4 linked regions of the Ovis aries genome follow. The protein of the gene in region 2 binds, or shares a complex with, the protein of the main gene of each other region. Links are inferred from orthologs where the notes say so. Each region holds a gene or a part of one and is shown on either strand. Other genes may lie near its edges.

What was found.
Region 1: the proteins of EED (region 2) and JARID2 are in contact, whole or in part, in a cryo-EM structure (PDB 6C23), measured with the Homo sapiens proteins. The link is inferred for Ovis aries from reciprocal best matches to the Homo sapiens genes EED and JARID2. Residues at the interface, in NP_003788.2 of Homo sapiens: Pro95, Phe97, Tyr148, Arg306, Asn307, Tyr308, Cys324, Asp362, Ile363, Trp364, Tyr365, Arg414, Asp430; in NP_004964.2 of Homo sapiens: Pro109, Gln114, Arg115, Lys116, Phe117.
Region 3: the proteins of EED (region 2) and EZH1 are in contact, whole or in part, in a cryo-EM structure (PDB 7KTP), measured with the Homo sapiens proteins. The link is inferred for Ovis aries from reciprocal best matches to the Homo sapiens genes EED and EZH1. Residues at the interface, in NP_003788.2 of Homo sapiens: Cys84, Val85, Asn86, Ser87, Leu88, Lys89, Glu90, Asp91, Trp103, His104, Ser105, Lys106, Glu107, Val112, Arg120, Leu123, Tyr124, Gln129, Gly130, Glu131, Ile132, Arg133, Leu134, Leu135, Gln136, Ser137, Tyr138, Val139, Asp140, Tyr154; in NP_001982.2 of Homo sapiens: Gly37, Ala38, Lys39, Leu41, Tyr42, Val43, Asn45, Phe46, Lys48, Val49, Gln50, Lys52, Thr53, Gln54, Leu56, Asn57, Glu59, Trp60, Leu63, Arg64, Val65, Gln66, Pro67, Val68, Gln69, Ser70, Met71, Cys83, Thr84, Ile85.
Region 4: EED (region 2) and RBBP7 share a complex: the UniProt entries of both Homo sapiens proteins name them as parts of the PRC2/EED-EZH2 complex. The link is inferred for Ovis aries from reciprocal best matches to the Homo sapiens genes EED and RBBP7.

The regions. Positions count from the first base shown.
Region 1 is NC_056073.1:40,683,029-40,687,555, forward strand, and holds part of JARID2 (protein Jumonji), read right to left. Parts: intron 2,920-4,527; coding exon 2,814-2,919; intron 2,072-2,813; coding exon 1,889-2,071; intron 1,496-1,888; coding exon 1,365-1,495; intron 1,082-1,364; coding exon 898-1,081; intron 1-897.
Region 2 is NC_056074.1:8,802,141-8,806,667, forward strand, and holds part of EED (polycomb protein EED), read right to left. Parts: intron 3,906-4,527; coding exon 3,780-3,905; intron 3,142-3,779; coding exon 3,060-3,141; intron 853-3,059; coding exon 761-852; intron 1-760. UniProt on the Homo sapiens protein: Polycomb group (PcG) protein. Component of the PRC2/EED-EZH2 complex, which methylates 'Lys-9' and 'Lys-27' of histone H3, leading to transcriptional repression of the affected target gene.
Region 3 is NC_056064.1:42,498,114-42,502,640, forward strand, and holds part of EZH1 (histone-lysine N-methyltransferase EZH1), read right to left. Parts: intron 3,505-4,527; coding exon 3,324-3,504; intron 3,071-3,323; coding exon 2,874-3,070; intron 978-2,873; coding exon 886-977; intron 1-885.
Region 4 is NC_056080.1:15,051,726-15,056,252, forward strand, and holds part of RBBP7 (histone-binding protein RBBP7), read right to left. Parts: intron 3,024-4,527; coding exon 2,863-3,023; intron 2,126-2,862; coding exon 1,999-2,125; intron 1,881-1,998; coding exon 1,803-1,880; intron 976-1,802; coding exon 899-975; intron 1-898. UniProt on the Homo sapiens protein: Core histone-binding subunit that may target chromatin remodeling factors, histone acetyltransferases and histone deacetylases to their histone substrates in a manner that is regulated by nucleosomal DNA.

The DNA.
Region 1 (4,527 bases), on a different chromosome or scaffold from region 2:
GGTGGATTCTGGTCCCGTATGACTTACATCCTTTCAAAGACAAGAAGCGATTAAGACAGAAGCACTCACAGGAAAGGCCCCGTGAGCACCAAGGGGAAGTGGATGTCTACATGCCAAGGAGACGCCTCAGGGAGAACCAACCTGCTGACACCTTGACCCGGGACTCCCAGCCTCTACAACTATGAGAGAGACGTTTCTGCTGTTCACGGCAGCAGTCAGTAGTGCAGTACAGCAGCCCTGGCTAACTACAACAGCTACAGAGACCTGTGCGGGGAGCCACTGCCTGAAGGAGGCGGGAGGGGGCTGGGCTGGGTGTAGGAGCGTGAGGCGTGTAACTCAGCCCCCGGCTGGGTCAGACAAGCCCATCGTGGAGGCTGCGGGACAGCCGAGAGAGAAGGCAGAAGGGCTGGACTGCGCTGGTTTCCAGCCACGACCAGGGACGGAAAGCTGGGAATGGGAAGTGCTGCTTTACCAGACAGACTTCAGAGTCCTTGGGGCAACCAGAGCAACCGCGCAGCTGAACAGAAGCTTCAAGAGGCCAGGAAAGCTAAGGAGAGGCCAGGAAAGCCAGGGAGCCGCGTCCCCACAGTCAGCCCGCGGGGAGGCCAGGAAAGTGACTGGGGCAGCCGCATCCCCGCAGTCAGCCCGCGGGGAGGCCGGGCGGGGCACGCGCGTCCCGCAGTCAGCCCGCGGGGAGGCCGGGCGGGGCACGCGTGTCCCGCAGTCAGCCCGCGGGGAGGCCGGGCGGGGGCAGCCACGTCCCCGCAGTCAGCCCGCGGGGAGGCCGGGCGGGGGCAGCCGCATCCCCACAGTCAGCCAGCGGGGAGGCTGGGCGGGGCAGCCGCATCCCCACAGTCAGCCTGCGGGGAGGCCGGGCGGGGCACGCGCGGGGCTCACCATGGACAGATAGCACAGGTGCTGGCACACCTGGCATCGCCTCTCCGAGGTCTCCAGCTGCAGCCACTTCCGAGGCTTCTTCTTGCCGTCGGGCGCTGCGCTGCTGCCGTCGTGGCTGCCGTAGCGGGCGGAGGAGTGGAGGCCAGCCTCGAAGAGCTGCCGCCGCTGCCGCAGCTCCGTATCCCTGCCAGGACACCGGGGGTCAGCTGGCCCACAGGGGCTGGGGTCCTCAGTTGGGCACCCAAGTCAAAAGGCCAGACCTGCCCCAAGGCCTCTTGGACGGCCACACTCTGCCTGCTGTGACCACGGGGCACACGGCCAAGCGCCGAAGAGCCACCACCTGCAGCCTTCAGCCTCCGGCCGAGCCCCAGGAAGAGGAGGCCAGCGCTTCCCCACAAAGGACGGACCGCACCCTCACCATGCCTGGCTGAGCCTAGATGGGCCGGCCTAGAACTGTCTCGTGTTACCTGAGCTCGTCCAGAAGGGCTGAGATGGTACTGAGAGTGGAACCGTTTTCCTTTTTTGCTTCCGCTTGTGCGATCTGGTAGAGTAACTTCTCCATCGAGAATGGCTTAGCTATATGGCGACGCTTCATCTCCTGAAAGAGGCAGTCACATCCCTTCAGGGCAGGTTTTCATTTCTAGGCAGCTATCAAGGGTTTCCTTTATTGGGGAGGCGGTGCTATCTGAATTTTCAAATTCTGAATTCCATTTGGATGAAAAGCAACGCAAAAACCACACGATGATCTTGTCTCCCCCGAGGAAGACCGCAGACCCCAGGTCCTCCGCCAGCCAAAGGCAGGGTTCGCCTTTCACACCTCTGCAGCGACGGCCCAGGGCTGAGCTAGAGAACTCAGCAACTTACAGGAGGCTAGCCAGCCTGGAGCCACTCTCCCTCCCCAGACGAGCTTCTCAGCCGCCTTAGGCTGTATCTACAAACAAGACCCCCACTGGGGGACGCCGGGCCGCGTGCGGAGTGGCCACCTGCCTACCTTGGCCGTCTCGAAGCCCATGCTCGTCCACTGGGTGGTGGCGAAGTGCACGGTCTCGGAGACGCTGTAGCCACAGCAGACTTTGGACACGAAGGATCCCGGGAAGCAGACGACGAACTGGCCACTCTGCTGCACCGTCCTGTGCACCTTGATCCCCTCCCTGCACAGCACCTCCGGGGAGATCTGCGGAGACGTGGCGCTGAGCCACCCGCCTCCTGCCCCGCTTTCCGTGAGGACCGCCTGCGGCAGCGGCCCAGCACACCGGCCCTCCGGACGGGCGTCGGGGCTGAAGCCTGCTCCCCACCCGGAGTATGTCCTGTATTACAGATTCTCTGTTTCTCTTTTAGAAAATAAAAGAGACGTGACCCCTAAGTGAAGGAAGAGGAAGTTCTAAACTGATACAGGCCCAGGGGCAACGCCTGAGACAAGGGCACGGCAGCGGTGATCAGGGACCCTCACAAGCAGAGCCCTGGATCCCTGCCGCACGGCGGCTATGGGCTTGGGAGAGAAGACCCCGACAAGGGCCGCAGAGGCCAGAGAAGACCTGAGATCAGGCTGTCAGAACACAACAGGACTCAACAGGCTCTGAGAACTGGTCCAGCTGCCTCTGCTCTCAGCCCTCAGTGATCCTGCCCAGCGTGCAGGTGCCTGGCCCGACCCCAGTCGCCATTTACAAACCCACCAGGCCCGAAACGGAGTCAAAGGGCCCCACATCCTGGGCAATGAGAGGAGCATGCTTTAGTTGTGTTTCCATAAAAGAGTTTTTTTTTTTTTACGATGGCTCCCTGGATTGGTTGTTCACGGTCCTCTAGTTCTGCAGGGCAGGTCAGCCGAGGGGTGAGTAAATGAAACCGCCTCGCGGCCCCCACCCACGGCCCCCGCCGCCCTAGCCTGTGGCCCCGCCACCCCAGCCCGCGGCCCCTACCATGACGTTGCTCTCGAGCATCTGCAGGCCAGGGGTGCCGTTGGCTTGCAGCAGAGTGTGCACCACGTCCTCCAGCTTGTGTTCCTCCTCAGCAGGAATGCAATACCTGGGCGGTTTGGAATCAGGGCGGAGGCTGCTGACAAGGCCCCTCCCCAGGGAGCCCGCCCTCCGTACTCCCCCAGAAAGAGGGGCCCACAGCTGCCTGGAGACCGGCCTCAGCTGCAGGAAGGGAGGTGGGCATGTGCCCAGTGGCCCTGGGTCTCTCTGGGCAGCTCTGCCGCTTATGCCCCGTGACGAGCATGCCCACCTGCATGCGGGTCCAACCTATGCCCAAGCCATGCAGCCTTCAGACCAAAACCAGACATTTAAAGCCCCTATAAATCAGATCCAGACATGTCCGCAGCTTCAACAGCCTCTTGTGAGCCTCCAGAGCGGGCACTTATTGCTGGGCTGGCACCTGACCCTTCTCTCCAGCAGATGGAGGACAGGGCGGGACCAGGGCTCAGCGTGGAACCCACCCACACCAAGGGCCTCTACAAGGTGGAGGGAGCAGCCCCGCAGGGTGGGGCTCAGACAACACAGCCCCCGCTGACTGGGGCCAGAGCCCAGCGGGGCCGGTGGGAGAGGACGCGGCCTCAGCTCAGCTCGAAGAACCAGGACCCTCAGTGCAGGCCGGGGAGCAGGAGGGAGGCAGTGACCACTCGGGTCCCAGGAGGACCCCGGGGGACACACCTGTCGCCTACAGCGCTCGAGACGCTGGTGGCAGTGGTCTGCACAGAGGCAGGCTCCTCCTGGTCTCTTGCTCTGGGACTCCCAGCCCTGCCGTCCACGGGCTAGAGGGGACAGCTGACCACCCCCTGCCCTCCCCACAGCTACGTGCGGGGCTTCAGGCTGCCTGTCCCCACCTCCCCTAGGCTGGGCGGGGAGGGCACCCGTGATGAGCGGTCTACCGGGCGGGGGTCCTCACTACTACTAACCTAGTCAAGGTTCTTCGAGAGGCTTGTTGTCTCAACACCAACATATTCTATTGCTGATCTGACTTAAGTCCAGAGTTTCTAACCTCACTCACACGTTTTAAGAAAAACCACACCGTGAAGTCCTCTGATCCTTTCTGGCAACCTGTCCCTGCAGCACAGAGGTTCCAGAGCCTTACGTCCCCTGCCTCTCACTCAGCAGTCACTCAGCACGCAGGCCGCAGCCTCTCACCCTGTCTCCCTGCAGGGCCGAGGCCACGTGGCCCCACTTTCTGATGAAGGACCAGGGGCACAGGGCAGGGGGCTCACACCCCCTGAGTCTATGCAGCTCTTCGACCCTCCACGCTGCCTGAGACCCTGGCCCCACCACAGGAAACCCAGCAGAGGGCCTGCCTGCTCCGACACCGACGGCCCGTTGCCCCGAGGCAGCCCAAACGCAGGAGGAGCCGTGATGAGACTGTTGCCGACACCAGCTCCTTGGAGTAAGAACATCGGCTCTAGGACTTTAACAAAGGAGCTAATCACCCCACTAGGACAATAAACTGAGTAAGTGTGGGATGGATGCGATGCCGGTAGCCCATCAGACAACAAGACATCTGATCATTTGCAGTGATTTCCCATCTGCCGCCATCAACAAAGGCGCTGAAGAGCCAGCTCGGAGCGGGGCTGAAGAGCCTGACAGTGAAGGATCACGCTGGGGAACCAGACCAATTCCTAATCCCCAACGGCAGAGCTCCACC
Region 2 (4,527 bases):
CAGTTTTTAAGTAAGGACAGTAGTCTTTGTTTTTTCATACATAAAGCCAGATAGAATTCTGCAAGTTCTAGAAAATCCTTTAAGGTAGGTATGATTCTCACAAAAGCATATAGGAATATTTAGTACCTCCAATTAAAATATCACATGCTTCAAAATATAATGCCCTTTAAAAATAGTTTAAAAAAAAGCTGAAGAGCTGTAAGACTACTAAATAAGTAAGCTACACAGAGAAGGTAAATAAACCTAAACAACACAAAATCTGAAACTTAACTAAAAACACTTAATATCACTACAACAGATCAACAGATTGTAATACAAAGCATAAAGACAACACCATGCCATCAAAGGGAAGTTATCTAAAAGTCAGTGTGAACAATACCTCCTAGAAATGAGTAACTTATATTTCAACTTCAAATAAAAGGTGAAAAAATTTCTTAATTGCCAAGTAGGTTAACCTTTTCCTTTAATAACTGAGAAACAACAAAAGGTAACTTGGTGATTTTAGATTAAAAAAGGAAAAGAACAAGTTCACAGAATTCTTTCATGAGAATCCAGGTGCTGGTAAAACACGTGCAAGAGTACAGATAAAACACCAAGAGCCTACTTGCTTTATTTCTTCATCTTTAAGTTAAAACCTTATCTGTCACAGTAAATGAAATAACTGCCTGCCAAGCTACATGAAACAAACTACGTGCTTTCTTATAGGGATTGTTCACAGCTTTGTAACCTGAAGGTCACTGCCCTGTAGCTTTCAACTTACAGCACTTAGAACTTCATCTCTGTGCCCTTCTACACCTCCAAATATTGCCACCAGAGTGTCCGTTTGGATATTCCATAATCGTAAAGCATGATCTAGTACAGACATAAAAAAATTAACATAAACTTTTATCATTCATTTACTGTGGACTTTTAATATCTCTTTAAAGAAAAAACTACCAAAGTTTGGACTTAACTCATTCACAGTAATGACTAAGAAGGAATCCATATCGTATAGGAACTTAAAATATTTATATTACTTGTAGATTTAACTAGGTATGAGTTCAAACTTTCAAGGGTACTAGTTTTTCCCTCTACCATACCCACATTTACAAATTGAAGAGGACAAGTAGATTTATAAGATCTCTACAGTAAATCTAAAAATATGATTGAAACATACACATATTGGGACATTATTTAGAGTATTATGGACCTTTCAAAAATTCTATAACTGTAATCTGAGCAATCTCATTTTCCACTGAACATCAGCAACAAAATAAATAGAAAGCAATATTCATAAATACCAAGCAGAGTTTGAAATATAACAATGTCTATACTGTGTAATATTAACATATTATACAACATATTGTTAGTAGTGGAAATAAACATTGCTACAAAAATGATTTCTTTTTGTAGCAATGATTTCAATCTGCATCCAAGTTTTTGTGCAGACATTTACATTTCTCTTGAAGATACACGTACCTAGGAGTGTAATTCTATGTTTAGCTTTTTAAGGAACTGCCAGATTGTTTTTCAATGTGCTTACACATTTTACATTCCTACCAGCAATGGATGAAGGGGTTCCCTATTTTACTGTCTTTTTCACTGCAATCATCCTAGTAGGTGTGAAGTGGTTATCTCACTGTATTTTTGATTTGCATTTCCCTAATGATTAACAATACCCACTCCAGTGTTCTTGCCTGGAGAATCCCAGGGACGGGGTAGCCTGGTGGGCTGCCGTTTATGGGGTCACACAGTGTGAGACACGACTGAAGCGACTTAGGAGCAGCAGCAGTGATTAACAATGAGTGCTTTTCCATGTGCTTATTGGACATTCTTGCCTATTCTTTCAAAAGATGTCTACTTTTAAAGCCTTTGTTTGCTTTTAATTTGGTTGTCTTTTTATTACTGAACTATATGACCTCTTGATTTAAGTCCCTTATTAGATACACACTTTGCATATCTTTTTTTTTCCTATAAGTTGTCTTTCCCTTTCTTGAGAGTTTTACTTGCAGAAAAATTCCTGTTCATTTTGAAAAGCTGTTTGAAAAATGCTCTAACACAATGGGGGAAGAGCAAGATTAGGAAACTGTGACATTAAGAACAAGTAAGGCATTATGGTCTATGTTACCTGTAAAAGAATATCTGAGCCCAGTTACTGTTATTAACAGAAGAGAAAAAGTTGTCAGCTCTCTTCTTAGGTGTCTATTTCCAAACAAGCCTTGATAGTTGAAAAATCACATTGAAATATTTTTCATGTAAGAGTTTTAATTTGAGGATATCTTTTAATATGGGGGTTAGGTTATAGGTGTGATAGCTGTTAAGAAAAGAATACATTTGACTAGAATAATAATGTAGAAATGAAAAGAGAAAGGGCAATAAAAAACAGAATGTAGAAATAAGAACAACTCAAATCACTTTAGAGAGCTCAGAAATTTAAGAATGATTCAGAGGCCTGTCTGAACCCAAAATAAACTTACAATGCCAACATGGGCATACAGAGCAAGACAATGCTTTCTCTTTGTAAGGAAGGAAAACATTTAGAAGAGCTTACACTGGATAACTTAGCATTTTAAGGAATCCTGTAGGGAATCTTTTATAAAATAGAAGCATTATAGAGAGAGGCAAAAAAAAGCATCATGGATTTTCAGATACACTATTTCTTATTACATGGTTGGAAAGCATCAGAAATTTGCTAGACTACCTTCAAACTACTAAAAATGTTGCAACTTCAGTGACCTGCCATTAAAATTAGTACAGTTTAGTATGATAATTCAATTGAGGATAAAGTTCTAGAACAATCATAATGCAATATGGTAAATAAGGGTAACATACATCTAATCCTCAGTGTCAATTATCTTATCTACATCTTACAGGAACAGTGTACTTCATGGTCCCATTCTCCAGTTCTTGGTTTGGGGATGCTAATGTAGCCCAAAATTTTTCTAAAACTTACTTCGTTTTAAATTTGGAAATTTCCCTTAGATTAGTTTGTCCCGAAGTCAAACAAAACTAAACAAACAAAAAACCCAACTCACTCCCAAATAAATACAACTATACAAGGAAATATTTGTTTCTCTTACCTTTACTTACTGACAGGAGAAGATTTGGATCTCTTGGGTGGAATTTCAGCTCATTGATAGCATTTCCATGGCCAACATAGTGCTATAATAAATTTAAGACACTTCAACTTTCATATAAAAATCAATAAATTCATTTTCACTAATCTTCAAAGAATGGAAAAATAATTTCACTTGAAGTAGTGGTTCTCAGCCTTGGCTGCATATTAAAATCACCCAGCTTGAAGGAAAAATAAATGACACTGAAGTCCCATTTGCAGATATTCTGAGCCACAGCAAGGATTTAAAAGATTCTCAGGTGATTCTAATGTGCCCCCAGAGTTAAAGTGATTTGTAAAATTTCTTTTAGTATCAACTTCCAAGGCTTCACTTTTTAATTCTTTACAAAGTATCCTTGACTCCATACTCCTATTTAGGGGTTCTTGAAAAATGAGCTCACTCTTTAGTTATTGTTCATTTAGAGCTTCTCAGGATAAAGCAAAAGAACAGAAATGATTTTAATAGAAAACAGTGCAAATGATAAAATTTTCCCATTTATTCCTTAATTTGCATGACCCAAATATGACAAAGGTCTCAAAAGACTTGTCTAAAGGAAGCAACAGGCAAAGTACAAACCAAATTAAAAACTGCACAGAAACTGACTCCGTTTTAAATTCAACATGGCAAGTTTTTACAGGCGTGCATACAAAAGAAGCAGATCGACAATTTAACAAGAAAACCCACCTTTATGCACTGCATTGTTATGGGATTAATTATCCTAATTATGCCTCTAGATCCAGCAACAGCCAGCAGAGGATGGCTTGTGTTACTATCATATGTCCACGCACAAGTGTAAAAGTTTTCATCAGCCTAAGAAATCCCAGTTAAGAAATATAATTTGCTTTTGAAAAGGAAACACATCAATGACCACAATAATGTCCAAAGAACTGCTGAAGCTCTTGACAAAGAAGTTCCCGTTTTTCTTTATACCATCAGGGTTGAAACAATGAAGATTTTAGGTCTAAAATCTATACCAAGTGATCAAACAAACCCAATCCTTCCACTCAATTTTGATTACTATTTTGCTGTTTGCACAACTGTTTACCTGTTTTCTGAAAGCAGCCACAGCCAATATGTAAATGAATAGGCATAGGTTGTATCCCCCAAATTTATCTATAAAAACAGGTTTCCGGGGGAACGGATAGTCAAGGTCTTTGGGAAGATCATGTACTCACTGCTGTATTTAAAATGCATAACCAACAAAAACCCTTGTATAGCACATGGAACTCTGCTCAACATTATGTGCCAGCCTGGATGAGAGTGAGAGTTTGGGGGAGAATGGATACGTGAATGTGCATGGCTGAGTCTCTTCACTGTTCACCTGAAACTATCACAACATTGTTAATCGGCTATTTCCTAATACAAAATGTTTCTGGTATTAAGAATAAATAATTGAAACAAAAAAAAAAACAAAAACAAAACCAGGTGACCA
Region 3 (4,527 bases), on a different chromosome or scaffold from region 2:
CAGCTCAGGGTTGTGGTCCTGGGAACTCTGCAGATTTGGGTAAATGATAGCATGACCTCCTCTGGGGGACTGGGATCCTCCCCAAATCCCTTCACAACAGGCCTGGACACGGGTCCACAGAAGCTGGAGCCCACTTTACCTGCAGCTGGCCTCTGGCTCAAGATTTAAACAAGAACACAGCCCACCCATAAACAAACATACATAAAAAACCAAAAACAGATGCAAGACCAAACCAAACCCTCTACATCTATTAAAATGCTACTGTTTCTCCATTTCTCCTCTCCCCTGCCCTCCCTCTCTTATAGGAGGTGGAGATGTGGGAGCGTTTCAGGATGGGGAGGTGGGAAGACTTCAGAAATCTGCTCTGAGTGAAGAAATTGAAAGGGAGATGCCACAGGGATTTCCTTCTATATCTGGAACCAGTGTCAGTTTTTTACGGAACAAAGCCAGATGGAGTATTGGCTGCAAAAAAAACACCTTCCAACCCTAAGCAAAGGTTAGCTAGAAGACAGTGTTATTATGCAACTTAGAGATACAAGTGCCAAAAACAGAACAACAAAACTCTGGTCAGAGTTGAGAAGTGAGCACAGTGGTAATAACAACCCAGCGAGAAGAAACGGCCTCAGGATGGAGCCACGAGGCCAGTTCACATCCTGCTGGCCGGGAGCTTAAAAATCAGTTATTTCATGGTCCACAGCACTGCGGGACAAGGGAAGGGCTGATTCAAGACACAGACTCGCAGGGAGCACTGAGGAGACTGGCCCTCCACTGGGTGATGCTGAACTGATGGGCAGTGGCTGCAAAGGGAGGCAGCAGCGAAGCCCTAGGGGAGGTCAGGGAACAGGGAACGGTCTGGCCACAGAAAGCCTTTGGTCCAAGCCTTGCCTGTGCTTTCTCTTCTTCTTCTGTGAGGGGTTCATAAGCTCATCTGTGGGCAGCTTCAGGATAAGTGACTCTTTGACTGCAAACTGGAAGACCTGGAAGAGAAATCCAACAGGACCTGTTACCTCTTGAGCTGAGGGGTCAGATAAGTGACGTAGCCAGGTGCTGGTTTCTGGAGAGCTTGTGGGCAGATGTCTGAGCGTCTTTAGCAGGCACAGACAGAGAAGCACCGGGACACCAGGTTGCTGTTTCTGAAGCTCTTTGTTTCTGGTTGTGTTTTTGGTCTTGATTTGTTTTTGGGTATGCCATGTGATGTGCAGGACCTTAGTTCCCTGTTCCCTGACGAGGGATTGAACCCATACCCCCGGCATTGGGAACAAGGAGTCTTAACCACTGCATCACCAGGGAAGTCCCTGAAGTTAATTCTTAAGTGTTTATCCTGACTGAGCACAGGTACGGTTTTTCTGGTCAGTCGCGTTCATCTACTGCTCTGCCTTCCAATCCAGAGGGAGTCAATTCTTACCAACAGTATCTGCTTCTTATCAGGAAGGGCAGTGTTGTATACCTTGTGTAACTGAGTGATGTGACCTGAAGTACCACCCGGCTAAGCGCTAGCTCCCTCTGCTGGCATAAAGATGTTAGAGCCTTGACTATTATTTTAGCAGGACAGCATTTCACGAAGGCCTGGTCCCTTTTAACATGCTGTTTCCCTTTGAACATTTGTTTCTTAGCTTTTTCTTTTCGGTTACAGGCCCTCTCGCAATTCCATGAAAACTGTGAATCTTATATTCAGGAAAATAACACACAAAAATTGCTTTGTACACAGTTTGCAGGCTTTTAGATCAAAAACCTGTGCCTTGGGGAGATAGGTATGAAATTAAAAAAAAAAAAGGAATAGGGGACACGCCTTTTTCAAGGCATGAGCCTGCTGTGTCTCCTTTTGCCTGGCAAAGCAATAAAGCTATTCATTTCTACTTCCTCCAAAACGGCCTCTCGTGCCTTCTGAGATGGCTCACACTCCATCTATGGTGTTTTCCCCTTGAGTAAACCTTCTTTCACTTAAAAAGAAAAGAAAGCAAAGGGCACTTCAGCTCATGGTTCTACTACTTGTTCTAAATAGAGAGTACATGCAGAAAAGATTGCAGACTCTTCTGGAAAGTGAGGAGCTAAGCGAGGAGGGCTCAAGCTCTGGTGTTCCTGTTTGGACCAGTTGGCCCCAATACCTGACTCCCTATCCCTGTGCTTCAGTTTGTCTGCTCCCTGTAGGCTTCTCCAGCCTCCAAAACATCAGAAGCTGCTATCAGATGGTGATTCTAGTGATGATGTAAGTGAGATGCACAAGGTCCAGACCCAGCCATTAGGGGTGGTAATTAGGAAATCTAATGATAGAACATTTGAAGAATAAACAACTGAGAAGACTGACTTGGGGGGTGGTGGCAGCTGCAGCTACAGAAGCAGGAGCAGGGGTGTGAGAAAAGAAGATCCCCAGAAGGACCCAGGAGTGCCTTCCAGGAAATGGGTCCACATTTAGAAAGAAACGGAGAAGGAAACAGCCACCCACTCCAGTATTCTTGCCTGGAGAATCCTGTGGACAGAGGAGCCTGGTGGGCTGCTGTCCATTGGGTTGCACAGAGTTGGACACAACTGAAGCGACTTAGCATGTATGCATGCATTAGAAAGAAAGGCAAGAACACCACTGCCACCACCAAAAAAAAAAAAGAAAAAACCTAAGAGAGGGTAGAAACATCCAGAAGAGTTAGATAGTGGCTAGAGACAGAAGTAAGGATTCAGCAAGGAGAGCAGATCCTAAGTATTGCTAGGCCTGGTATTTGCAGAAAGCCCCCCAAGTTTGGGGAATCCACCTCCTGGTCCAGAAGCACAGGCTCACGAAAGACTGAACCTAAGACAGCTTCTGTCCAGACAGGCAGCCTTACAAAGTGACCAAAGGGCTCCCGGGGCAAGGACTTGTTCCCGTCCCCTTCAGGCAGTACCTGCTTACACGTCTTAGTCCCCAGAAGTCTGGCTATTGAACAGAAGTTGTTGAAGTAGGTGCCATGAAAGACTCGAAAAAGAGATTCTTCAGCCCCAGTCCACTCCACAGGCTCTGAGGGTGCTTCCACTACACAGAGCTGAGGTGGGGCTGGACTCGCCTTCTGTTTCGTGGGCGTCTGACAGCGAGAGTTCGCCTCTAAGAGAGAAAGGAATGAGAGAAACACAGAAGGTGGAATGCAGCTGGCCTCAGTGGTTTGCTACAAACTCAGCACTTCATTCTACACCAAAAGGTAGAAGAATTAGGAACGAAAATATTCCCTGTCTCTACTGCTTACAGGTGAACCTGTGGAAAGAATGAACAATTTAAAAAGGTAGTAATGTTAACTGTTACGGCATGATCCCGGGTTTACCTTGTGTAGCAAGAAGAGGTCATTTTCTGCTCACTGTACCTGAAGAACTGGAGGCCCAGTCATTGCCAGTGTCCCTGTCACTGTCCCCTTCTTTGGTCTCAGCCACAGCAGAGGCTGAAGTGTTGGAGCAGGAAGCATTGACCACGTGGTGCCTTCGCCGGCGACGCCCGGAGCACTTGGAGCGAGGGTTGTGCAGCATGGCGTACTCCTTTGCTCCTTCCTGCAGAGGTCATGTTACAGTTAGGAAGCAGAAACAGGCCACCATATCGGTCCCATCATCACAAACCATCTGCAATATCTGTGCTGACTTGCAACTTGACACTTTTTTTTTTCCTCTGTACCATATATGACCATGTGATAGCTTCTTAACAAACATCTTAAAGCTTACACACTTATCTCTTGACAAAGAGCTGCCCTATAATACAATCTTTACAAAGATATAATCTTTATATATTATGCACAGATGTTTCTATGCATCTTTGACTGTCCAGTGAGTCGTATCTTATACTCATTTGCTCACAAGCTGACTGGAATTTGAGAATACATTCTCCTGTAGATGAGAAAATGAGGGATGTGCTGAGAGCATGCAGCTAATTATTCCAGAACAGGTACAAGAATCAGGGCCCTTCATCCCCAGGCCTCACTGTTCTTTATGTTTTACCACACTTGTCTCTGTTTCAGCAAGAAAATATATAATCCTTAAATTTGTATAATATTACCACTCAATTGGTCATGTATGGATGTGAGAGTTGGACTGTGAAGAAAGCTGAGCGTCAAAGAATTGATGCTTTTGAACTATGGTGTTGGAGAAGACTCTTGAGAGTCCCTTGGACTGCAAGGAGATCCAACCAGTCCATCCTAAAGGAGATCAGTCCTGGGTGTTCACTGGAAGGACTGAGGCTGAAGCTGAAACTGCAATACTTTGGCCACCTCATGCGAAGAGTTGACTCATTGGAAAAGACCCTGATGCTTGGAGGGACTGGGGACAGGAGGAGAAGGGGACAACAGAGGATGAGATGGATAGATAGCATCACTGACTCGATGGACATGAGTTTGAGTGAACTCCGGGAGTTGGTGATGGACAGGGAGGCCAGGCGTGCTGTGATTCATGGGGTCGCAAAGAGTCGGACATGACTGAGTGACTGAACTGGACTGAACCCCTTAATTTAGGAAATTCCCTCCAAGTCAGTATTTTAAACTAGGATGAATATTTTATTACTTTATTACTTTACAGCTATGCTTT
Region 4 (4,527 bases), on a different chromosome or scaffold from region 2:
GGACTTTGCTAGTGTTTTCAAGTAAAAAAGAATATTCTCAGATGTCTGTTTTAAAGATTCTCTACATTTTCAAGCATCTATCATGACTAGGGTTTCTTCTGTAAGAACACAGAACATTAGCAGTTTAGCAGTTTTACTGTTCCATACACTGAAAAGTGGGTATACTGTCTTTGTAATTAAGGCAGCCTTGACTAAACACTTAGTCCACTTCAAAGCAATACAGGTAGGAAAGAAGTTATTTTGGGAAATGCTATGATTTAGATTCCAGATAAGAACATCTCTACGGAGAGATACATAATACAGCAACATTATTAATGGCTCTAAAAGCTCAAAAAAAAGCGAACAGTCTGAAATTCTTAGAATAGCAACCCTGCAGTCAAGGAACTTTAAGAATTGGGAGAAACTGTTTCCATAATGAACCCCCAGAAGAACATAAGCTCTGATGGCATTGGCTGTGCTTATCCTGTTCTCATCCTCAGCAGTTACACAACCCACAGGAAGAGCTCATACCTGTGGGAAAAAAACAACTGAAAAAGATTAGTCCTGCAGATGTACGTTGAAATCTAAGGAGACACAAACAGCTGACGTCTTTACCCCTTTCTATAGCAAGAGTTTTTTCAATACCATTGTTTGGATGTTAAAACACACATGCACCCCTAACCCTGACTTCAGTCCTAATTACAAAGAAAATCAAAACTCACATTTGCATCAATTTTTTTCACATTCCATTTGCTGATTCACTTCTATTTTATGGAACAGACTCTTTAGGAAGGTACTGAAGATTAATTTTAGACTTATTAAACTGGGGTTAGCAAATCGCTCTTCTAGTCTATGAATTATTACATAATCTGCTATATTAGCATATTTATGCAATTTTTGTCACCAGATCCTGAGTTACCTTAAATCCCACACATTCAGGCGGCGATCAGTACCACTTGAAGCCAGAATGGTTTCGTTATGTGGAGACCAGTGGACCTAGCAACACATATTTGAAAACATAAAGAATCATCCATTACTGGGTCTGTGGCTGTTGTTCTAATCCTAGATATTTTCCCATTTCATCTTCTGTACCCTTTGCTTGGCCTACAAGCCTTCACTCTTTGTGCTGTCCCTTCAGGTGCTCTTAAATGAAACATCTCTTCAGCCTTCCCCTGGGAGGGTCATATTCCTCAAGGGTAACTCTGCTAGGGCTCCCAATAAACTTAGCTCCCAAACCACCCCAGAAGCTTTTAACATTTCTTTTAACATGAAGTGTACCTTAGCCTATGCACATCTCTATTTTAAACCATATATAAGATTTCATTTAAAAAATTAATTTACTTATTTTTGGCTGTACTGCTCAGCTTCTGAGATCTCAGTTCCATGACCAGGGATTTAAACCAGGCCACAGCAATGACAGTGCTGAATCCTAACCACTAGACTACCAGGAAACTATCTTTACTTTTTAAACTGATCCTATTTTGCAAAGACTGTTCCTTTTACTTCTGAACTAACAATATCTAGAAATCTCCAAGTTATTTCTCACTAGTTTACTTACACAGTAGGCAAGGAGCTTTAAAAAAAAAAAAACAAACAAACACAGGGAATTCCCTGGTGGTCCAATGGTTAGCACTCTAGGCTTTCACTGCCAGGGTTCAATCCCTGGTTGGTGAACTAAGATCCCACAAGCCACATGGCATAGCCAAAAACAAAACAAAAACCCAATGTCCCAAGTCCACTATGTAAAAGAAAAAAATTTATAAACTTCTCTCTAGTAAAAAGTTACTAAAATCTGACAGAGACACCAGAAAACTGTCACATACCTGGAAAATTTCATCTTTATGAGATTCAAAGGTATGGAGTTTCAATTTTAAGTTACGCAGATCCCATAAAGCTACAGTCTGAAGAAAAATAAAATGAAAAGGAATTTGTTTCTGCACTTTACATAAGAATTTTAAAATATTGTAGTAACAAAGACAAGTAGGTTTGTAAACACCAAATATGCAAAAACTTAGAAACCTTATCCGCAGAGCCAGTTGCAAGAATGAACTCGCTGTAGGGATTGAAGGACAGGCAATTGACCTCGGCAGTGTGCGCATCAACCAGGTGGCTCGGCTTGGAGGTGGTGTTGGACCTAGTGTCCCATCTAAAACACAAAGGTACAAGGCACACAGCGCAAGAGCAGGCCACTCAACCCTGCCCCACCTCCCTCCCCAACACTTGTGCCCACATCAGCACCACTCCATGCCACTCCTCTCTCGCTAACTTGCCTTTCAGGGACACTAACCATGCAGAGTTGGCAACTTGGACTTCCAACCACTAGGTGATATGCTCTAAACCTGCACAGAACAAACTAGGGCTACCTCTGCTTTCTTGTTCATTACGTCCCTATCTGGATTACCAACTATTTCAAGCATGCACAAAATACTAGAGACTACTGTTTCATATCTATAACCTAGCCTAGTCAAATTCAGTATTTTGCTTTGTTTGCCTCAGATGCTAGTTTATGAGATAAAAAGCATTCCAGGTGCTTGAATGCAGCCCTGTAGCCATGCCTTGATGCACAATCACTCTCCTCCCTCAACTTCAAGGCAAGTTACCCTGATCCCCGATTTTGATACATACCACTGCCCCAAGCATGTTTCCTCATGTGCACGTACCTGTTTTTTTCTTTTTCTAAATAAAAAGTTGTGTTCAATCATACAGCACAGTAACTTTTACGTAAAAAGGCCATCCCTATTTATAGCTTCTCATGTCAATTATACCTCACTAAAGCTGTTTTTCTTTTTTTGAAGGCCAAGACACAATTTAAAAGCCACCACAATCACTGATGGTCATTCAGGACACCCATATAACAAAACCCCACTCAATTTTCCACCTTACATCATAAGTTTCTGATCATCAGCAACAGATCCAAACAAGGACTCATGCAGCAGGTGCCAGGCCACATCCTCTACAACAGCCGAGTGGCCGGTAAAAATTGCTTTAGCATCCACAATTTTGCCTTCCTTTGGTCCTGCATTAATATCCCACAGACAGACAGTCTGAAGAAGGAACAAAACAAGAGTCAGTTATGAGAGACTGAATTTAAATGCTAACACCTTATTTAAAACTCTTTATTAAAAACAAAGCTACTTACTATATGAAAATTTTTTAAAAAAGTGAAGTTTCATAAACAGCAAAGTGTACAGGTGTAGCTTCCACAATCTGAGATGCAGAGGGGAAGGAAAATACAGTGTAATGGGGACGGGAGGACAGCATGGTGGCAGGCAAGAAACATTCTGGTTTGAGTTTCCACCTACATACATTCAATCAAGTATCTAAAATTCACCTAGATTACACAACACGAGCCTGGGGTTCAATATCCACCAAACTGAAATGCATATCTTAAAACTTCATGCTGGGCTGGGAAACTGGGAATTAAAACTAAAACATGCTTCTTAAAAAGTGAAAGCTTTTGGACAGCTGTCACTTCACAGCAGAAACCACTACATACATCAGCAAGTGCCAACAGCTGAACAACCTAGAAACCCCTACAAGGCTACTGAAGAGACCACAGGGCCTGCCCAGACCTCAAAGGTTACAGATCCGCAGGCTTTGAGAGTTTGAGTCTTTTCTTAACATCTCGTCATAAAAATAGCTGAGAAGAGTCTGAAGTTTCTATGAAAAAATATTGCAAAGTATAGGGCAGTGATTGTCACCTCAATGGAGTAAGAGGTAATTCCATTAAGGTATATTCAAATTAATTCCACTGACACTAGTATCAGCTTCCTCTCTTCATCAATCATTTTATTATCTGAAAGGGTTTCTGTTACACAATACATGTGGCCCTTAGTCTCTGTTGATACTCACACATTTGGACGCAATTTACATGCATGGAAAAGGTGGAATGTGTCGAACTATTACCTGCTCCTCACCTCAGAAAGATCCTGGGAAAATTACCAAGATGCCTCGCATATGTGGAGCCCTTAGGAAACGTCAGCTATTAATTATGACTAGCAACTCCCAGCCTGGTGTCTTCAAAAAGTACTAGTAATTAAGTTCTTGAGTATAACCCATCCTCCCTGTGTGGGAGACTATCCTATGCCCACTCTGAGGGAAACAGAAGAAGGCTTTCTTTCAGAGACTCTGTTCTGATGACAGGGTAGAGGGGCATGGGGAGTGTTACATCCACTTTCCAGGGATGGCAAGAGTAACATCCTCACTGGCCTAATTTGGGTCAACAACCCGGCCTCTCCTCTTTTCCAGGCTATTTTCTTGCCATCACAGTGATTCTGTGAGCTACCCTACATAATGCCCTTCCAATTAATTCCTTTTCTGTTTAAATCAGTCAGCACCCTCTTTGCAGCCACCAAGGAAAATACAGGGTTGGCCAAAAAGTTCATTCAGGTTTTTTCATTATATGGTATAGAAAAACCTGAATGAACTTTTTGCCCAACCCAGTATTTATGGAAGTTCTTCAGAAAAGTAAAAATAGAACTACCACATGATACAATCCCACTTTGACATTTATACAAAGAAAACACAAACACTAATTTGAAAAGATAT